Linked DNA regions of Elephas maximus indicus. The protein of the gene in region 2 interacts with the protein of the main gene of each other region in a pairwise test. Links are inferred from orthologs where the notes say so. Each region holds a gene or a part of one and is shown on either strand. Other genes may lie near its edges. The genes, in order: SS18 and NFKBID.

Region 1 (3,908 bases), about 82 Mb from region 2:
CTAACCAAAGGGTCGGCAGTTCAAATCCGCTAGGTACTCCTTGGAAACTCTATGGGGGCAGTTTTACTCTGTCCTATAGGGTCGGTATGAGTCGGAATTGACTTGATGGCCCTGGGTTTGGTTTTTTTTTTGTTTGTTTTTGAAGGCAGAGCAGTGGTTAAGTGCTTGGCTGCTAACCAAAAGGCCATGGATTCCAACCTTTGTTTTAAGTAATTGTTGATTCGTTTTATCTGATTATAGATGGGGTTTCGTAAAGAACCCCACCCGGTTAGAATCCACCTGCCTGCTCCAGGGAGAAAGATGTGGCCGCCTGCTTCCATTAACAAGATGGAACAGTTCTACTCTGTTCTACAGAACCACTATGAGTCAGGATCCACTCAACCGCAATAGGTTTGGTTTTAGGGCGGCAAAAACGGTTAAGCTGTTGGAACCAGCCCTCTCTGGAAGACAGGCCTGCTTATCTGCTCCTGAAAGGTCACAGCCTTGAAAGCCCTATGGAACAATTCTATTCTGCACACATGGGGTCTCCATTGAGCCGGAATGGACTCCAGGGCAACTAACACCACCACCAAAATATAACTGTAAAAGGAAACAGTGAGGGTACTGTATCTCAAAATTCAGTTCCAAAGATCCAACTCAGTTGAAATCATCACTTATGCAAGGGTTTGTCTCAAGAGATGTGCTCCTATGGTCGCCCTGGTCAAGGTGGTTGACTGCCCCTAAGTACAGGACACAACCCTCGTTTCCCTATTTTGCGTCAGGCTTACTTTTTTCAATTGTTAGGCTCGACTTTGTGCGCGTGCGAGACCGTGGACTCGGAGGTGCGCATCTGGGGCATAGCCGAGCTGTTTAAACCAGCGAATCCGCGTTCACATACTCCTTGCACCTCTGCTTCATCTTGGCTGCTGTTACTCGGGTTTGCATGACCTCCCAGGTCCTGATCCACCCCTCTCCGGGCTGCCCCGTCCTGCCCCGCACCGTGGCGAGGACCCGGACAAGTCCAGTCGGCTACTTCTTCCCAGGAGTGAGAAGGGAGTTAGGAAAACTGAATTAGGTCCAAAACGGACCACTGAAACGCAGTTGGACCGACGCTTCAGCGCGCCGGGGAGGGAGGCAAGTTGCAGCAACGCGAAAGGGGCGGGCCGGCTCGGGTCGCTAGCATTTCCTGTGACAGGGGCTGCCCCAGCCTCTCTCTCTCCCGCGGCGGCGGGACCATTTCCTGAATCGCTGAAGCGGAGGGAGGGCTGGGGCGCGGCCTTACCATTGGCAAAAACTAAAGGGGGGGAGCTGGATAAAGAAAGGCTAAGAGATGCGGGGACAGTCAAGAACAGGGAAGTTATACTGGAGCTGTCGTTCCTAAATAATAAGTAAAAACAAAAATTTCGCGGGTGAGAGTTTCTTCTTAGGGCCAGACCGGCTGATGGTTTGTTCGGCACCGGAGAACCCCCCTCCCCTTTTTCCAGAGGTGGTTTAACCCGGAGGCCGGCGTCTTTCCCCAGTTTGCCGTTCACTCGGAGCGCTCGGGACTTGCTGATAGTGGTGACGGCGGCAACATGTCTGTGGCGTTCGCAGCCCCGAGGCAGCGAGGCAAGGGGGAGATCACCCCCGCTGCTATTCAGAAGGTGAAACCTTGCGGGTCGGGGATGCCAGGCCCACCCCGCCTTTGGGAGAGACACTGGGGCAGGGCCGGCCGGGAGTCGGCCCGGCCGGGGGCGGAGGCGGGCCTGCTGGGAAGCAGTCGTGTGGGAACCAGAGCCGCGGGCTGTGCCCGAGTGGGTGGCGAAGAGGCCGAACCAGTTTTCTCGAGGAGTCTTCGCGTGTTTAGGCTCTTTTCTTCAAGCACAAAAGCCCAATTAAGCGCTGCCTGATTTCTCTAGGGATGGGGCGGCGTTTGGGCAGCGGGGCGCGTGCGCCCAGCGGCGGGGCCGAGCGAGGACAGGCTGTTGCTCGGAGTCGGCGCCCCCCGCGCCCCCGCGCGTAGCTCCGGAGTTACTTTGGCGTCGCCCCGCCCCGCGCGCTGCTGCTTGGCGCAGACCCGACCTCGGGTCGCGTGAGTCGGGGTGAAACTCGAAGCGCTGGTCAACCCCGCCTCTCTGCCTGCCCCCAGACTCCAACGGAGTTGGGGAGCACCCAGGAGGACTCGGGAGACACTGAGGGGCGGGCGAGGGAGGACCCTACGGGCTTCGGGGTTACCTTAGGAGTCCCCTTCCCCTGTCTTGAGTCACCCCATAACCGTTTACAGATGAAGCATGTATTTACTGAGCGCCTATTTTAGATGGTGAAGCTACAGTGGTGAGGCATGCTTCCTGCCTTCATGGCGTGTACAGTCCAGTGGTGGAAACACTCCGATGATCGAGACAAATTATAATTTGTGATAAATACACAGGGAGCTGTGTCCCCGTTAGAGTGTAGTGCTACCGCTGTTTCTGTTGTGTAGCTGCCAGTTTGGGACACAAAGGTTTTTTATTGTCCTTTTTTTTTTTTTTTTTTACCCCTCGTTGCCTGTGAGCAAGGCTGCATTCTAAATTTTACTCAGTCGGACTTTAAAAAATTACTTCCTAAAATAAGTGTTTACCTTAGCTGTTTCGATTTGGTTTTATGCACTGAAGCAAGGATGAAAATAGAAGTCAGCTTTTAGTACCACTTAGGACACCATTGTGTCCCCAATAGAGTATGTTAATCGGCTTCTGTTTACTTTAAGCTTCTATGTAGTGTGGCGTTTGACATTTGCCCAACTGTTGCTTAATTTTATGAATAAATTGTCTTGGCAGTGACTGGAAATGTGGTGCTTCATATAGTGCATTGGGCTAAATCTGCAGCCTGGCAAACAGCGTGTGCGCGCGTGCGTGTGCGCACACACACGCACACACAGGCACATGTTTCTGAAGGCGCTTGTTTTTCTTTTTAGGATGTAGAAACAGTCCCGAGTTTTTCTATATTTACTTTTTTCCTGTAAAGAATTTTTCTTAAGATATTTGTCATGGGTGATAATTTAAAGGATGCTGATCAATTATTTTTCATCCCCAGATGAGAAGAGAAAGTGGATTTCAAATTAAATGCCTCATTCTGCAATGTGAGGGATTGACGTTAGATACAAGACATTCTTAACGGTGAAGTTTGTGAGGTTGAGGAATATACTGAAATGATATGTTGCAGAAATTTTATGTTGAGGATTAGATTAATGTCATTTCAAGGGTTTTTTTTTCTATTTTTGCATTATGTGATTCTGTTTAAGAAATAACTGCAGTAATTAGAAGGGTATATTAATTTTTTCTAACAAGTGAAGAGTGATTCATTTGCAGAAAAAAAGTTACAATTAATGTTAAGTGGGTCTTTCTTTTTAATTAAGTGTTATCAAACCAAAACCATTGCCATCCAATCGATTCCGACTCAGGAGATCCAATGGGACAGAGTAGAACTGCCCTTAGGGTTTCCAAGGCAGTAAATCTTCACTGAAGGAGACTGCCACGTCTTTACTCCTGCAACAGTTAAATTGCTACCTAGATAGTTGTGATAGAATGATTTGGTGCTATGCCCCATGTTTTCATTGAATGGCAAGTTCAGGAGGAACACTTGCTCATCTGCTCTAGTCCCTTGATTTTACAGATGAATGAGCGCCTGAAAAGTTAAGTACTTTGTTCAGGATAGCAAAGCTGGCGCTGAAACTAACCAGCTTTCCAGTTGCTACATCAGTATTTTTTCCTCAGTGCCCTTTTATGTAGATTAATTATTTAGCCCTTAAAGCCAGGATTCCATTGAGTCATTATAAGATGGTAGAATGATAAATTGATACGCTTTTTTTAAAAACTCTTGGGGTAACTTATATAAGAAGCTCATAAAGTTTGCCGTAAGTATTTTACATGCATAGAAATTATTGTATTTGATTATTATGCTGTATTTGGGGAATG
Region 2 (3,908 bases):
GGGGACCAGAAGGGAAACGGAGGGGCGGGTATGGAAGATTCCTTTGCGTGAGCACTGTGACGTCAGCGCGTCGCGTCGGGGCTGTTTCCGAGACTGCCCCACCCCGCTTAACCCTTTCTTCGCCGGAGCCCTGGCTCGGAGGGCGAGGATTGGGAGCCCAGACGTCCTGGGTCGAGGGGAGACCGGCTTGGGAACCGGACCCAGGTCCTAGAGAGGAGGGAACTGAGGACCTGGATTGCTGGGTCCTGGGTGCTGTGCTCCCGGACTCTTGAGTCTGAGGGATGGGGGCCTGGACTCTTGGGTCTGAAGGAGGAAGGGACTGGGGGCCTCGACCTCTAGATCCTTTCTGGCTAGGGGACTGTTGGCTCTTGGTTTCTCTGGGAGGGAGACTGGGAACTCGGATGCCTGGTTTCCCAGGGAGCCATCAGCTTCTGGGACAGAGCTGTTGGGTACCTGGATATACGTTTTCAGGGAGACATGCCTGGTGACCCCCGAGGTCTCAGGACTGGTAGATTTGGGGTAGTGTTTTTTTTACGGAAATGACGAGGAGTACAGAGGGGCGCCCTCCCCCTCCCCCTCCCCGTCTTCGTTTCCACGACGCTGGTGGAAAGTTGGGTCGGGGGAAAGTGAGGAGCAAAGAGAAGGAAACGGCGGAGGCGGGTGCCGCACCCATCATCCTCGACTGGCTTTGGCGCTCCAGGCGGCCTAAATGTGCCAGTTTTTCCGCGAGGGAGGGCGCTCGGATTCACTCCCCCGGGCACTTGAGTGACTTGAGGACCTTGATGACTTCCCTGGCCCCCCCCAACCCCCGCAGTGAGCCGGAGTGAGCGCAGCCACTGCCCATCACAGACGGTGAAGAAGCTCCTGGAAGAGCAGAGGCGCCGCCAGCAGCAGCCTGACGCCGGTGGGGCCCCGGTGAGGCTCAGGAGGCCCTGTGGAGTGTTCTCAGAGACCATGTGGGGTGGGCAGGGACCTGCTTCCTTGCTGGGCCCTGAGAGCTGAAGAGAGATGTTGTCCTGACTTAGAGACCCTGTCTGTGGAGAACTGACCGTGAGGGATTGCCAGATCAACTCACCCTTGTTCCTTGTTGCTTATGCCTCTGACAGGGACAGTTCCTGGCTCCCCCGGTGCAGCCCCTGACCCCGTCTGCGAATGAGGGTGAAGCTGGTAAGTCTGGAAACTAAGCTGGTTCCCTCAAATTCCAGCCCCAGCCCCACTTCGAGCTTTGGGGAATCTAGGAGTCAGGCCCCCATTCTCGCTGGGACACCACAGTTTGATTCCTTAGATTCTCTCGGGTCCAGTAATCTGCATACTCAGTCCTTCCCTTCGGTGGCCCAGGAGTCCAGGCCCCAGCCCCTCAGCACCTTGGGTGCCTCGAAGCCCTCAACAGGTCCTCCAGCTCTGACCCATGACTTTTCCAAGCCCACTAACTAGGCCTGCCCCTGCCTCTCCTGTCACACGCAGGCCATAGCCACTTCCTAGTGCCTCAGGAGACTGTGAGTTCTGGACTTGGCGGCCTGGCCCCCTCCACAGGCCTTCCAGACTGGGACCCCAACACGCACGCTGTGTACACCGACAGCTCCTACTCTTACCCCGCTTCTGCTGCTGAAGGTTTCCCGACTTCCAGCTTCTACCCACCCTCGGACCCAGGGCAGCTGTGCCCATTTCCCCAAGGGATGGAGGTAAGATACAGAGTGGGGACGTGGGGGCAAGGTGCAAAAGGGCTGCTAACCATGGATACTTCCTCTTTTCAGCATTCTGAGGTGTCCAGGGCTGGGTTAAGATCCCATTCCTCAGAAGGGTAAAACTGAGGCCCAAAGATCCAAAGTCACTTGGCACAGATGGGACATCTAGCCACTCAGTCAGGGGCTCTGTCCCTGTCCCTGACTCTGTTCATGCGTGTGTGCGTGCACGCGCGCGTGTGTGTGTTGTGGGGGAATGGCAGTTTGGGAAGGAGGAAACCAGCTGACTGGCTTTCCCCACACCTGTGTCCTTCAGGACCCCCTGGATACCCGACTCTATGCAGAACCTTCCCTGACACAGGCAGAATCCTGGAGAGTTTCTGGACTCCTCTCAGGACCCCCACAGTTGCCGCCTGTGGTCCAGGGACCATCCCTGGACACAGCCCGTGCTCACATGCTGGCCTTGGGGCCACAACAGCTGCTGGCCCAGGATGAGGAGGGGGACACGTGAGTATGGGGAATAGGGTTTGCAGGCTCTTGGCTAGGCTTGGGGCTGGGGCGGGGGCTCTGCTCACCGCTGCCCCCTACCTGCCCTCAGGCTCCTGCACCTGTTTGCGGCTCGGGGGCTGCGCTGGGCAGCGTATGCTGCGGCCGAGGTGCTCCAGGCGTGCAGACATCTGGACATCCGTGAACATAAGGGCAAGGTGAGGGCTGAAGGCCTGGATTCCTGGGTTCAGAGGAGAAGAGAGCTGGGGCCTGGACTATGCATTCCTGGGGAAGAGGGGACTAGGAGCTAGGGTCCTCAGTCTGAGGAAGGAGGGCGATGGGGGCCTGGACTGACCTTCCCTGTGGCCTGTAGACGCCTCTTCTGGTGGCTGCTGCCGCCAACCAGCCTCTGATTGTGGAGGATCTGCTGAACCTGGGAGCGGAACCCAATGCCACTGACCACCAGGGCCGTTCTGTCTTGCACGTGGCTGCTACCTACGGGCTCCCAGGAGTCCTCTCGGTATGGCCAGCTGGCAGGTGGGGTGTCTGGGGTGGACTGGTTGCCTACATCCTGGTTTCCAGGGCTAGTCAACTTGGGAAAACCTCAGCCATCACCCTTCCTTCTTCCCCTCCCAGGCTGTGTTTAACTCCGGGGTCCGAGTTAACCTGGAAGCCAGAGACTTTGAGGGTAAGTCAGGCAGCAGGTGGGGCAGGTGGGCTGGGTGCTCCAGATTCAGGACCCTCATTGTCTCTGTCATGCAGGCCTCACCCCGCTCCACACAGCCATCCTGTCCCTCAATATCGCCATGCGCCCACCCGACCTGTGCCCCCGGGTGCTGAGTGCCCAGGCCCGAGACAGACTGGCCTGCGTCCAAATGTTGCTGCATGTGGGTGCTGACCACACCAGCCAGGTGAGCCAGGCCCTGGGCAGCTGGCTGCTGGGAGGGCCAGGGGGATAGGGAGGGCCAGCTGGATGTCCAAGGCTCCAAACAGATGCTGACTTTGCTGCCTCCCAGCTGTGTGGCCATGAGCAGGTGACTTCACTTCTCTGTGCCCCAGTTGTCAACTGGGAATAATAACATTATTCATCTTAGCCTGTATTTATCAATCACTTAACTATTCATGAAGCACTGAGTTTCATGAATCAGCTTATTGAATCCTCACAAACGACCCTTTGGCATATACTATAATTATTTTCTCTTTTACTGGTAAGGCAACTGAGGCACACGGACTAAAAAATCTTGTCGCTTGTGAGTGTCAGAGAAGGGATTGGAACCTAGGAGGTCTGACCCCAGAACCTGGCTCTTAGCGATTCTATTATCTTCCTTTTGCGTGGTAGGAGCTGAGTCACAGAGAGCTGGTTGAAAAAATTAAACATAGACTTTTTATTATTTTAGTTAAAGAATTTTGAACACAGATAAAGTACAGAAAATAATATAAGAGCTCCATGTACCTAATGTCAGTAACCAGCAACCCATGGCCAGTCCTACCCCATCCATTTGTTCACTTTCCTGTATAGGGTTGCTATGACTTGGAATCAACTCGATTGCAACGGGCTTGGTTTTTTTGGTTTTATTTTATATTTATAAGAAGGCCTGGTGGCGCAATGGTTAAATACCTGACCGCTAACCCAAAGGTCAGAGTTTCGAATCCACTAGCTGCTCCATGGAAGAAGAGACCTGGCAATTCACTTCCATAAAGATGACAGCCTAGGACACCCTACGGAGCAGCTCTGCCCTG

Evidence for each region.
Region 1: the proteins of NFKBID (region 2) and SS18 interact in a two-hybrid assay, tested with the Homo sapiens proteins (2 studies listed by BioGRID and IntAct). The two-hybrid records come from large-scale screens. The link is inferred for Elephas maximus indicus from reciprocal best matches to the Homo sapiens genes NFKBID and SS18.

The regions. Positions count from the first base shown.
Region 1 is NC_064829.1:32,783,020-32,786,927, reverse strand, and holds the start of SS18 (protein SSXT), read left to right. Parts: upstream 1-1,488; 5' UTR 1,489-1,553; coding exon 1,554-1,622; intron 1,623-3,908. UniProt on the Homo sapiens protein: Appears to function synergistically with RBM14 as a transcriptional coactivator. Isoform 1 and isoform 2 function in nuclear receptor coactivation. Isoform 1 and isoform 2 function in general transcriptional coactivation.
Region 2 is NC_064829.1:115,001,575-115,005,482, reverse strand, and holds the start of NFKBID (NF-kappa-B inhibitor delta), read left to right. Parts: upstream 1-1,438; 5' UTR 1,439-1,676; coding exon 1,677-1,682; intron 1,683-1,998; coding exon 1,999-2,189; intron 2,190-2,280; coding exon 2,281-2,386; intron 2,387-2,541; coding exon 2,542-2,688; intron 2,689-2,804; coding exon 2,805-2,856; intron 2,857-2,930; coding exon 2,931-3,079; intron 3,080-3,908. UniProt on the Homo sapiens protein: Regulates the expression of IL-2, IL-6, and other cytokines through regulation on NF-kappa-B activity. Functions in the regulation of inflammatory responses.